2 linked regions of the Drosophila melanogaster genome follow. The protein of the gene in region 1 interacts with the protein of each later gene in a pairwise test. Each region holds a gene or a part of one and is shown on either strand. Other genes may lie near its edges.

What was found. Proteins that work in one complex are often made in the same cells at the same time.
Region 2: the proteins of bab1 (region 1) and CG32121 interact in a two-hybrid assay, tested with the Drosophila melanogaster proteins (one study listed by BioGRID).

What each region holds. Positions count from the first base shown.
Region 1 is NT_037436.4:1,097,774-1,103,510, reverse strand, and holds the start of bab1 (bric a brac 1), read left to right. Parts: upstream 1-2,421; 5' UTR 2,422-2,874; coding exon 2,875-4,410; intron 4,411-5,737. UniProt on the Drosophila melanogaster protein: Probably acts as a transcriptional regulator. Required for the specification of the tarsal segment. Also involved in antenna development.
Region 2 is NT_037436.4:13,416,337-13,424,172, reverse strand, and holds CG32121 (uncharacterized protein), read left to right. Parts: upstream 1-1,836; 5' UTR 1,837-1,851; intron 1,852-4,047; 5' UTR 4,048-4,078; coding exon 4,079-4,192; intron 4,193-4,762; coding exon 4,763-5,086; intron 5,087-5,189; coding exon 5,190-6,244; intron 6,245-6,316; coding exon 6,317-6,770; 3' UTR 6,771-7,597; downstream 7,598-7,836. Other genes in the region: CG33263 (uncharacterized protein), read left to right, coding at 5-688.

The sequences.
Region 1 (5,737 bases):
TGTTGCTGCGTTTGATCCAAATTCTGTTGGCTGCAATTCATTGGTTGCTATAAACACAGTGTTATCTAATTGCATATGGTTTTTAGGGGGAAAATAAGCAGAACTATCTGCAAAGGGTCCTAAGTGGTGCAAGCATTACCACATATAGTATATATAATATATATAGTATAATAGAAAAACAATCAGTTTTATTATTAATTTATCCAATACATAAAAACCATATTCAGTTACCTGAATTCATTCAAAATACTCAAAAGCCTAAAAAGCCCGAATAACTTATGAATTAATAGCACACACACTCATTAAATAGTAGAGATACAAAGTCCAAAACTATTTCAAGGGCTGGCCATTAGAGTAGGCAAAAGTATCACTTAGCGTCATTAAATCACCGGATACGAGTGAATGAAGGCATTAAAAGACTCATTCAGAGATGCCAGATGAATACTGAATATAATCCGATCGATGGATACCTGCCGATCGCGTATTTGTGCCCCTTTATCGCGATTCGCGATTCGATTCATGGCCGATGTTTATTATAATGTAACCAAAATGAAAAGCAGCCGCCATTTGCCAGTCACGAAAAAATTATGCATAATTTATGACTGGCTGTAGTGGACCCCTCTCGCCACCTCTCGCTCACTCACCTTGATATGTAGCTTCGTCCCGCTCGCACTTGCAAGAATTTATTATTTTTGCTAGATTTGTGTTTTTTTTTTATTTTATGTTTCGCATATTATAAATGCGCAAGGCAATAACAAAAATAATCATAAACACATACACGGAATCACCCACACAGAGGCAAAAAACCGAGGCTGACCAGTCTGAAACGATAGTGCCCCGCCCTCCGCCCCTTCGGCCACTCGGCACCCCCCCAAATGCCCATCACCACTACTCATGAAGAGAGCGAGAAAAACTAGTGGAAAACTGCAGGTGCAGCTGAAAGAAAGAGAAACGTCTCTTAGGCGAAAAGCGCCAGCCAACTCTCTCGCGAAAGAGAGAGAGCCAATTCGCCGCACATCTTGATTTCGCCTAAGCATTTGTTTACAATGCACGACTGGCAGCGACGTCGACTGCGAAGAGAGTTTTTCGTGATGGTTTTTCGAAGGGGGGGCTGTGTGGGGTACACCTCGAACGGAACTAATTAATGAAGCATCTTTCAGCCGAGTTTTGTTTCTCAGTCGGATGAGGTGGAATGCGTGAGGGAGAAAGAGTAATGGCTTGGGAAGAATAGAAAGAGAGAGGAATGTGCTTCGAAAGACCTAATGATCACTAATCTGCACTTCTCGCAAAATGCTCATACTACAAATGTTACAAGCAATTCATACATATGAATATCGATTTCCAATATTCTAAAAATAATTAAAATATTTTATTTAATAATTTTCAATTTTTTCAATTTTTTCACTTAAATTTAAGCTTTTAAAAGAACCCTAATAAGATATATAATATCCATCACCTAAATAATCGGCAAACTCAGCACTATTTTCGCCGCATTCCCAATTCCTGAAGACCACCTAGATGTGTTCCTCTATTTTGTGCCAGGGGTACTGGTCGATGGGGCTCGTCCACACCCTCTCCTGCCAAGCACCTCCGAAAAATATTAGGCCTAAGCTCGAATCCGCACTCGCACTCGCACTCACAATCGCAATCGCAATCGCAATCGCCGTCGCTCTCCGCTGCATTTTCGGGGCAACTTCCGTTTCCTCACGCACGCACACTTGCCACTTGCCACTTGCAGCGACGCATCCTTTTTACGCAACGGTAGTTGTGCGGCGGCAAAGCGCCAAAATTTTGGGGGTTGCAACGGCGAGAGGCCGAGAACGAGGACGAGGACGAGTTCGAGTGCGTCGAGCAGGCCGACGAAGGACGAAGGACGAAGGACGAGCGAAGCCGATTCCGATGTTGAGCTCGAGGAGAGCCAAAACGCAGCGCAGGAGCAAAGGAATGCGGTGCCGTTAGCCGGCGTTTTTTGGCGCCTACAGCTCGCCGTTTTCAGCCATTTTCAACGGGCTCGCCGCTGCTTCGGTCGTTGTCTCTGCCGTCGGTTCTCAGCCAAGCGGCGCTGCCTACGTCGCATTTTCCTTTCGCAGCGCCGGCAGAGCAGTTCGCGAACTATTCGCAACTTCGTCGCGAACTCAGTCGCAGCCTGAGAGCAACAACTACAAAGCAGTAGCAGTAGCAGTTGCTGCTGATGTTGCTGTTGCTGCCGCTTCTGCTGTTGCCGTTGCCGTTGCTGCAACATCAACGTTGCCCCTCAGCTTTCCACAGGCACAGGCACAGGCACTGCCACAGCCACAGCCACAGCCGCACATCCACATCCACATCCACGTCGTCGTGGGCCATCGTCGTCGTCGTGTGTTAAGTTTGTTTTGAGTTTTTCCGTATCAAAATGTGCAAAACGATTTCAGTCTAATTCAGACGCTCGTGCTGAGAAGACTTTTGGCCCTGTTTGTTGGCCAATACAGCCATAGAACACTGAAACCGAAACAGAAACAGAAACGGAACTGAAAGCACACACTGAATAACACTGGACACGACGACGAGAACCGAATCGAACTGAAAGAACGAGGCGGCGGGCTAATTGCCAAATGGCCACGTAGTGCGCGTAACGTAACGAATACGTTAAACACCCATACACACACGCCCAGACACACACACACACACACACACACACAGAGAGACAGAGGCACGCACACAGATACGCACATGTACATGCCCACTCTCAGTTGAGCGTCGTAATTGTCGCGGATTCTTTTGAATGCTTATTCCTTAAACGCTATGTGAAGAGCGAATCGCGTAACGAATAACGATCGCGTAACGTTTACGATCGCCGGTGATCCAACGATCAACGATCAACGATCAGCTGCAGACAAAATGGCGTCGGCGCAGGCGGAGACGAATGTCGGCTTGGCGTCCGAACAGGGACCAGTGGCTCAGAGGCAGCGCAAAGGGACGGGATCGGGCGCCGATTCGCCCAAGAGTAACAGAAGCTCGCCCACTCAGCAGGAGGAGAAGCGTATCAAAAGCGAGGATCGCACTTCACCAACTGGCGGGGCCAAGGACGAGGACAAGGAGAGTCAAGGTCATGCTGTAGCCGGAGGGGGAGGATCTTCGCCCGTCAGTTCGCCACAGGGCAGGAGTTCTTCGGTAGCCTCGCCCAGTTCCAGCTCCCAGCAATTCTGCCTGCGCTGGAACAACTATCAGACGAACCTGACCACCATCTTTGACCAGCTGCTCCAGAACGAGTGCTTCGTGGACGTGACCTTGGCATGCGATGGTCGGTCCATGAAGGCCCACAAGATGGTCCTGTCCGCCTGCTCGCCCTACTTCCAAACACTTCTGGCCGAAACGCCCTGCCAGCATCCCATTGTGATCATGCGGGACGTAAATTGGTCGGATCTCAAGGCCATTGTGGAGTTCATGTATCGCGGCGAGATCAACGTGAGCCAGGACCAGATAGGTCCTCTGCTCAGGATAGCTGAGATGTTGAAAGTGCGTGGTCTGGCGGATGTGACCCATATGGAGGCGGCCACGGCAGCAGCGGCTGCCGCTTCGTCGGAGAGAATGCCCTCCTCGCCCAAGGAGAGCACTTCAACTTCCAGAACTGAACACGACAGGGAACGGGAGGCCGAGGAGCTGCTGGCCTTCATGCAGCCCGAGAAGAAGCTACGCACTTCGGACTGGGATCCCGCTGAGCTGAGGCTCTCCCCACTGGAGCGGCAGCAGGGCAGGAATGTAAGAAAGCGCCGGTGGCCATCGGCGGACACAATATTCAATCCACCCGCACCACCCAGTCCACTGAGCAGCCTGATTGCGGCCGAAAGGATGGAGCTGGAGCAAAAGGAAAGAGAGAGACAGAGGGACTGTTCGCTGATGACACCCCCACCCAAACCACCAATGAGCAGTGGCTCCACAGTGGGAGCCACGAGGCGCCTGGAGACCGCCATCCACGCCCTGGACATGCCATCGCCGGCTGCCACGCCAGGACCTCTGTCCCGATCGTCGAGACCTCACTCGCAGAGCCCCCAGCAGCAGCAGGCACAGCAGCAGGGTCAGCTTCCTTTGCCCCTGCCCCTGCATCCGCACCATCACGCATCACCCGCCCCACATCCCTCCCAGACCGCCGGATCAGCCCACCACCCGGCATCGCCTGCTGGAGATTCCCGTTTTCCCCTCGGCCCAGCAGCCGCCATGGCCGCTGCCAGGGAACTGAGTGGCCTGGGACCAGGTCCGTCCGCCGAGCCACGCCTTCCGCCTCCACCGCCGCACCACCATGGCGGTGGTGGAGTGGGCGGCGGGGGAGTTGGAGGAGGAGGTGCAGGCGGAGTGGGTTCAGGCGGGGGATCCTCGCTCGCCGATGACTTGGAGATCAAGCCAGGGATCGCCGAGATGATCCGAGAGGAAGAAAGGGTGAGTGAATCTAAGCAACTTAAATTTCACGTTTATCTTTGTATTTCATCTTCCTTAAAGATAACTTTCGTACTTTTGTTTTCAATTATTCATATGTTGTGAATCGTTTTCTAAGTTAGTACATATGCCAGTTAAGAGAAGACTCTTCAATTCTGCAATTCCAATTCTACAAAAAGAGAGGCAGAGAGAGAGAGAGAGAGAAGCGCGCGGTGGAGCTCTCTTCTGCTGCTGCAGCGCTGTCACTGCGCTGTCGCAGCGCTGCTTCCGTCTATATCTCTCTCCCATTCATTATCCGATCTTTTGCCTCGGTTTGTTTTGATTCACGATTCGCGCGCCTTTCGGCGATCTTCAATCTTCGGCTGCGAATTCTGCCGGCGGCATTTCGCCTCGTGTCGTGACGTCACAGCGCGGAATGCGGAGCTACGGTCGCAGCGCTCTGTGGAACTCCCCACCCCACCGCCAGAGTGGCCATTGCCCGGAATGATTGACAGCATTCACGTGCTCCACGTTCCACGTTCCATTGTTTGCTCTCCTCGGCCGCTCTTTCTTCCCGCAGAGATTTGCTCCACATAGTATTTAGTACCCCTTCTCAGGTCAGATCCACCGATTCTTGGGTTCTCGGGGAGCAGGCACCGGAACGCTTCGGTGACCAAGAGGTGATTGAAATTCCTGTGGCCTGCGGTTGATTTCGATCTATGGAGCATTTTGTGACTTGTTGTGGTTCCCTAAGTGTGCTTCAATTAGGGCAACGACGGAATGGGTCTGCACAGAAAATATCTGGGGCTAAAATCGATAGATTCATTATTTGGATTTTTTATGTATTTTTCTCTTTCTGAGATTGAATCATTATGATTGCATAAAAATATATTTTAAATTTTGAAATGCTGATATTGAAAATTAAAAAAAAAATATTAAATATTGATCTTAAGATGCGCTTGCAATATACATATGAAGATATCTATAGTCCTAATGCGGCTTTGCTTCATAATTATATTTCAATAAGTTCACTCCAAACATTGTATCTGAATATTTACGACTATTAAAGTAAGCTGGTAGTTTTTGTCAGCTTAGCTTAGCGACCGGTTCGATTTGGACTGCGACTGCATTAGCACCGAGCTCACCGCAGAATTCGCACTTTAATAAAAATTTGTATTTATTTATCCAATAGACGTCGACGACGTTCACTCAAGAGCCCAGATCTCTGGCGATGGAGCTCCATTCACCATTCAGAGTCACATGCATTCGATGAGGAGTTGCCCGGTCCGGGATCAATCGGAATGCGATATTTGTTTGTCTGGGCGCAGAAGAGATCCCAGTGCGACTCCTT
Region 2 (7,836 bases), about 12 Mb from region 1:
CACCATGTCATTTAAACTATCTTTGCATTGTCTGCTGATCCTGGCAGGATATCTCACTTCAATTGAAGCCGAAGTTTTCCCGCAGTGCGCAAATGCTCCATTGGATACCTTTGTCATGGCCATCGAAGATTGCGCTTCATACATCTATTGCAATGGAGAAGACTCCTTCCGAGACAGCTGCCCCGAGTCCACCTACTTTGACGATCGAACCCAAGAGTGTGCCTTTGATGATGAGGGTGTGTGTCTAAGGAACTCAGACTCAGTCCAGACTGAGGAGCAGCCCGATAAGCAAACTACTGGTGAGGAGCAGAGCGGGATCGAAGAAACCACTCCCGTTCCAACACCGCCTTCTGATTACGCCTCTACAGGATCTGCGGACTCTTCTACTTTCCAAGCTGATTCTACAACAACCCCTACAGAATCAATTCCTTCAGTGACTGAGCCACCGACTACATCTGCTACGCCATCCTCCCCATCTGCAAAGCCTTCCTCTCCAGCTCAGGAAAGGCCGCACTGCGACATTTCCGGAGATGGTGACCATCCTCATCCCCAGCGGTGCGAGTACTACTACAGGTGCCTCAGCGGCTATCTGACCATTGTGAGATGTCCTTACAAGTATGGCTGGGACTTTCCTACAAAGCAATGCAAGCCTAGCAGCGAGGCTCAGTGCTTTAGTTATAGCTACTAGATTTATCTTTAGAAGCTCAACTTTGATCTAAATAAATTAGATTAGATTAGGCGATCTGTAGGTTGATTTCAAATCATTTTATTAACTTTTATACATTTATTTATATGTTCTTAAGATGAGGCTTTAACTTTGATCATAATCAAAAATAAATGAATAATTTCCTGTATGCACTTTATTTTTCTTTCTTAGAGTGTACATAGCAATCACGTGTGCATTTGCATTGTCAGTCAACTAGATAGTTGTTAGTGGTACTTTGACATTTAACGTACGTTTTATGTAAGGAATTATCCTTGAGTGAAGGGCTTATATACACATTGAGCTATTTACAGCCTCCAAGCTACGCGGCTGCTAACCCAAATCGAGGTGCGCACAGATGACAATAATAAATAAGTATTTGTGGCATTTTAATGAATTGAAAAGTGCATAATGAAGGTGCTGGGTGCCCGATGACCAACGGCGTCTCCATCTGGCGGTTCCATTTGTATTTGTCAGGCATAATTCACAAATCCAACGCGCAGGTATATGAATTTATTTTCGGCGGGCAATTTTCAAACGGCGGCAACTGCTGTCGCCGCTTCCACATTTTATTGCAAATTAATAATGCACACGATCCCGCAACAGTAGCAGCCGCCGCTGCACCAACAAATTCCTCCGCCTGTCGGCCAGTCGTGTCAATTGTGTCTAGTGGCGGAGTGGTCGCAGTTCCTGATTATGATGATGATGATGATGATGCCCTCATGATGATTTGCCACTGGCAAATGTTTTGATTAACTAACTGCGGGGCAGCCAATTAATTTTTGGCCAAGAGGCTTCACACTGATCGCGAGTACAAAACCGCTGAGATTTCTCTTCGCTGCGCCGATGCGGCCTGCTCATTAATTAAAGAACATGGAATCGGGCGACAAACGGATCCGCCCGACATGCTGAGAGCCAAATTCGAATCCGCTAAACAAATGGCAACAGCAGCAGCAACAACATTTGGGCCAACAGCAACACCAACAAGCAACAGCAGCAGCTACAACACCAACAACAGCAACACAAGATAGAGGAAAATTGTCAAGAGATGGACATTCGAAAAATAGAAAATCTCCAACTAAACCGAAAGAATTGAAACATTTTCGGATTTTTTCATTTCAGATGCGAGCAGCAAACGGTTAACAAAGGTGCACGCTTGTCCCGTCGCGAAAATCGCGAAAGGGAAAATTCGTAACGGACGCGGGGAAAATGGCATTAGCAAAATATGTGTGAAAAGCTAGAAAAAGAGAAAAATAAATAAAACAAAAATGTGAAGGATTCGTTTAACGAGAACCCAGTGATAAACATAGAACCGAGTGATTAAATTATTCAAGTAAATTGTGTAATGTCGCTGCGAGCACAAAAGGAGATCTTCAATGTGAAAGATAGATAAAAAACAAACTGCGTGTCATAAAAACACTACATAAAATAACATGAGTTGAGGGAAAATATTCAATTTGATGATCGCCACGAGCATCCCATTAGCATAAAAGAAGTCAATTCGAGATCCTCAACCATAAGGGTTAGCCATAGAGCTCTATTATTAGACTTCCCCAGGGGCAGATATGCTGGGCCACTGGATTATGCGTGATTCACATATACCGCTGATCGTGCGAATTCTATATTGAAATTCAAATACCTCTCGGAAAAAAACAGCGTTGACATCAAATTTATGTGCGCCACATTTCATGGAACAAATGAAAGTTAAACAACAATAACAAAGGCAACGCAGCGAAGGCTTAAGCATGATTTCATTTTCTATCCACTTCCCTCGACATTCTCAACGAGGCGTATGAGTGATTATGTGTAAAATATTACGCATCAACGAAATAGCTTCGAAATGAACCAAAGCTAAAGGCAAAGCCAAATCCAAATCGAAATGAAAACGATTGCGAGGTGCTTTGGAATGAATTGCCATGGATGACAAAAGGCAGGCACTTGGACAACAAATCAAAATAGACAGCATGGCGAGAGCGTTTAGCACAGATCTTTATTTTTTGGATGGCTATTTAAAACAACAGCCAGAGGACGGTACAGGAGAAGGAGGTGCCGAGCTGAAAGGCTGAAAAACTAATTTCGGAAAATCAAGTAAAAACTGAGCGAAATACCAAAGAGTTACGGAAAAGAAGGCTGCCTGACTGTCACGACAACACTTTCTTGTGTGAACGAGCGCCAAAAAGGCCGCGCCGCTCCTCCTCCGACCCTCCATCTCGAGTCGCCATCCACCCCAATCCCCATCCCTCCAATCCCATAGCCAGGCATCCATTGTACCCCATCAGGCATGGCATGGCAAGGCAACCTCCACCATCCATCGTCTCTCAATAGAGAAATGCTTAGATGCGATTCTCAGTCCCATGTGCACACATAATGGAATGAAGAAAATTCCGTCGTCCAACAATTGCACGCTGGGCTAGCTAAAGTGCAAAGAAAACCAAAAGACTCGGACTTGTCACTTCGCTGCGGATTTGCATTGGCCGGGCTGCCTGTTTTTGGGGGGCCTCCAATGGTCGTCGGTGCAGCAGCAGCAGCAGCAGCATAGACCGAGAAATCCCCAAAATCCCCCACATACCGACATACCCACCCCAGCTTCCTTGGACTAGCTTCTTATAAATAGCCCTCGGACAAAAGTGTGAACCGCCCGCCCGCCCAGTGCATCACATGCGATCCGAACAATGGAAATTGCCAAATTTATAGTGTACCCAGAAACCCACAGTGGCACTGCGATCAGATCGCCCAGGCCAGGCCAGCCAAGGAAAACTTATTTTATTTAAATAAATTTGGTTTAATTGCCAGCAAAGAACACAAATAACACTGGCCGTGTCTGTGCGTCTGTGTGTGTGCTGTTTTATTGTAATTCCGATTCGTCAACTGGGCACTCACCGAAACGGCCGAGTAAATCAGCCCGTTGACTTGGTCATCAAAACATAGAGGAGTACTCGACAATCCGGATACCTTGGAGGAGCTGGCAGCAATCTAAAGATGGATCAGGCTGTCATTAAATCAAATTATGCCGTTTCCCGGTCCCCAATGACAAACAACCTCCGCGACCCGCAAGATTGCGCATAACGGGGCGTATGAGTAATAAGCCAACTGCTACGACATAATACGTATACGCCTCGTGGTGCAGACGCTCTTCTAGGCGGCCAAGAAGAGCGGACACGAAAAGTGTGTGTGACAAAACGTTCAATAAATAAACAAACCGAAATGCAAACAAACAAATTATGAGAAACGAAAACAAAGAAGCCAAGTGGGCTGGGGCAAGGCGAATAGAATTTGTTTACCTCTCCGACATCCGACATCTTGCACATTCACTAATTGCATTTACCCCCTTACTTCCATTGCAGCTGGTCCATGTGATCCAAACCCAAATGAATTATGGAACATGTAAATAGCACTAATGCCAGACAACCGCAGCATCATCATTTTGATCAGCAGCTGCAGCACAATGACAGCCAACAGCAATTCTGCCTGCGATGGCATAACCATCAGGTGAGATCCTCCAGATAAAATTCATTTGAATTTTCATTTGTGGGGGGACTATATTCAACATTACCTCATAAGTAAGATCCATTAGAATGGACTGGACATCGTTCAGTGAAGCGAGCAGGCCGAAAGTAAAATGTCGCCGCATCTATATATAGGATCCATCTATCCAAACACATTCCCCTATACGTACAGATTCACACATAGTTTTCCGCATTTTCATATAGTGACAATTTTTGTGTTTCGGCCCAAAGGGTGTAATGCGGTGAAAGCGGGGCAGCGGTGAAACTGGCTGTCCAAAATAGCAAAACAGCCAAATGGACAAAGAGTAGTGAGGAGGAGTGTTCAGTGTGTGTGTCACATAAATGAACAGATTCGTGCAATTGCCAAAATCCAAAGAATTTCCACAGCGAGTAAATCGAAAAGTTGGAAAGCAGCTGCAGCCAACCCCTGTCCCCTGTTACACCGCAGACAGAGGAGCATCATGGGGCCCAGGAAATTGTATTTTTATGATCGTGTGACCCACTTATGAGCACTTTTCACATCCCCAACCCCATTCCCTCTGATCCCTTCCAGACAAGTTTGCTGAGCACTCTGCCCATTCTGCTGGACCAATCCCATCTGACGGATGTGACCATTTCGGCCGAGGGACGCCAACTGAGGGCCCATCGCGTGGTACTGAGTGCCTGCAGCAGCTTTTTTATGGACATCTTCCGGGCTCTAGAGGCCAGTAACCATCCAGTCATCATCATACCAGGGGCCAGCTTCGGCGCCATCGTCTCACTGCTCACCTTCATGTACTCCGGAGAGGTGAATGTATACGAGGAGCAGATACCGATGCTGCTCAACCTGGCCGAGACACTGGGCATCAAGGGACTGGCCGATGTCCAGAACAACAATGTGAGTAGCTCAAGTGCAAGATCTAGTTAGATAATTTAAATAAACTTGTAGTTTTTCCCTGAAACTCATACGCCTTTCTCTTTGGTCTCATAAATCCAAGCAGTTACCAAAAACAGCGAGAAGTGGAGGTGGCTCCTACATGGATACGACGAATGAGAAGTCCTCTGAGTTTGAACGTCCCACCACACCCTCGCCCACGCCCACCCCCACCCTTACGCCCTCCCACACGCCTACCCCAAGCCATTCACTCCCCCTGCCCCAGCTACCAAGTGCAGCACTTAACACCCCTCTCCTGGCCAACAAACTGGGATCGGTGAACTCCAGTGGAATGGGCACCACGCCCCTGGAGAATCTCTTTAAATCACTGCAGTTCTACCCCAGTCTGCTGCCCCAACCACTCAACTTCTCGCAGACGGCGCTCAACAAGACCACTGAGCTGTTGGCCAAGTATCAGCAGCAATGTCAGCTCTACCAGAGCGGGATGCAGGAGGATCAACTGGAGACGGACTGTTTTGGCTCCAAGAGGCTAAAGGGCGACAGTCCGCCGAAGGAGCTTAGGCGACTGGAAAAAAGCCTTTTAAAGAATCCAAAATCCTCATCGACGACCAACAGTAGCAGTAGCAAGTCGCCTCAGGAATGCTCCAACCCGAATCCCATTGTGGCCACTTCACCAGTAACTCTCGCTCCCCCGACCATGGCACACTTCTCCCCTCAGTTGCCGGTGGTCAAGTGCTCCTCGGCTAGTTACCCCAGCGCTCTCGGCCAAGGTCAACTCTATAGTAGCAAGCCACCACTTTATAGTGCAGCAGTCACGCCGACTGCCGCCCAGCAGGCGGCGCAGATGCACCACCACCCGCAACCCGGGCCATCGCCCTACATCTCGGCCGAGGATCATGCCAAGCTGCAGCTCCACATCGAACAGTATCAGCGGGAGGCGGCAGCAGCAGCGGCAGCGGCCGCCGGCGGAATGGCGCTGGTCAGCGCCAAGTCGGAGCCCAATCTGCTCTCGCTGAGCGCCGACCGCGACAAGTCGCTGGCCACCGCTCCCATCAAGCCGCCGTCCAACTCGAAGCTCTATGCCACCTGTTTCATCTGCCACAAGCAGCTGAGCAACCAATACAACCTGCGCGTCCACCTCGAAACCCATCAGAATGTTCGGTAAGTGGTCTGAATTTTAATTGTTATAAAACAATAGAAGTCACCTTTGGAATTACTTTTCGATTCCATCAGGTATGCCTGCAATGTCTGCTCCCATGTGTCCCGCAGCAAGGATGCCCTGCGCAAGCACGTTAGCTACCGACATCCTGGGGCGCCATCGCCATGTGAAAACGAGGCTCGCCGGAAGAGGGTCTCCAAGCTAGCAGCGACCACTGTGCCCACTTCCACGCCCATGTCCATGAGCGCCAGTCACACGGTCACCAGTGGCGATGTGGGTCCAGCTCCAGCGACCACACTTGGATGTTCGGGTCAGGAGGCAAGGAATCCGTACCTTTTCCTGCCCAATCAATTTCAGATGGCTGCTGCTGCAGCAGCCGTAGCAGTGGCCGAATCCTCGCCAGCTTCTGGTCAACCATCGCTAGACTTGGCACACGAAGCGCCACCGAGCATCAAAAGTGAGCGGGAGCCACCGACGGCGAGCAACGGAGAGGCGACCGGTGTAGAGGCATCGGCGTCAACCACCTGAGGATAATTTTTTTGAATATTTTTGATTTGTTCAACTCACCACACAAACACGCACACAGACACAAGGAGTACGCCCACCCATGCACACGCATATTGTTGGGTGACCGATGAGTGGTGGAAGGAAAGGGCTGATCCCTGACTCCAATTGTAAATCCGCTCAAGGGTGGTGGAATCTATTTCAATTTCAATGTTTCCGAACTTCGAATCCAATTTCAAAAATATTTAATCAGCAAGCGTAATCAAGCTTAATAATATCATTTTGAAAACACTTGCAAAACCATTTAAATTTGCATATTCAAAATGTTTTTTTGTATTGAAAGTATATTTAAAATATCTCAAGTTCAAACTTTGATTTTTGTAAGAAAGATTACGCTCTTCGTTATTTTTTGACATCTAGCCCCATTATTTTACCACTAAGTATGATCGGATTTTTTAACAATGTCAGAGGAGCCAATTTTCATCACCCACTCATGAGGTGCCCAACATATGAATATGTCAACTTTTAGTCCCACCGAAACCAACGTCTTAGACCCGGCTGTGATAATTAGCGCAATTCGTTTTTCGTCTTCTGCACTCGAGCGCCTTTCTAGCTATCTTAATTTATGTACTTACGTTTAGCACAATTTACGTTTATTTTTTCTGAAACTTTAGCAACCTCCGAGGCTCTCAAACTGCAAGTTACAAACACAATCCTTTCGCTTTCACGCTCTCTCACAAGCACACGTCCACACATTCTAGTAATCTAAGCCAAGTTTTTATAAATATTGTAATTATACACCTGAACACGCACACACACTTGCACACAAAAAGACAGGGTGAAGACCTACCAAACCAAAAAAAAAAAAAAACACAATTTTCAAAGGAATAAATGTTTAAGAAGCCAAAGAAATTGTGCGTGTTTAGCTAATTTTCCCGATCGCAACCAAATGGAGAAAAGTAATCGGCGAGCTATGCAAAAACTAGTATATTTCATTTCATAATACAATAATTTATGTACGCTGGCGTACTTTACATATCTTTGTGTTTCCTTTCGTAGTTCGTAGTTCCAGTAGTATAAAAATTGTTCG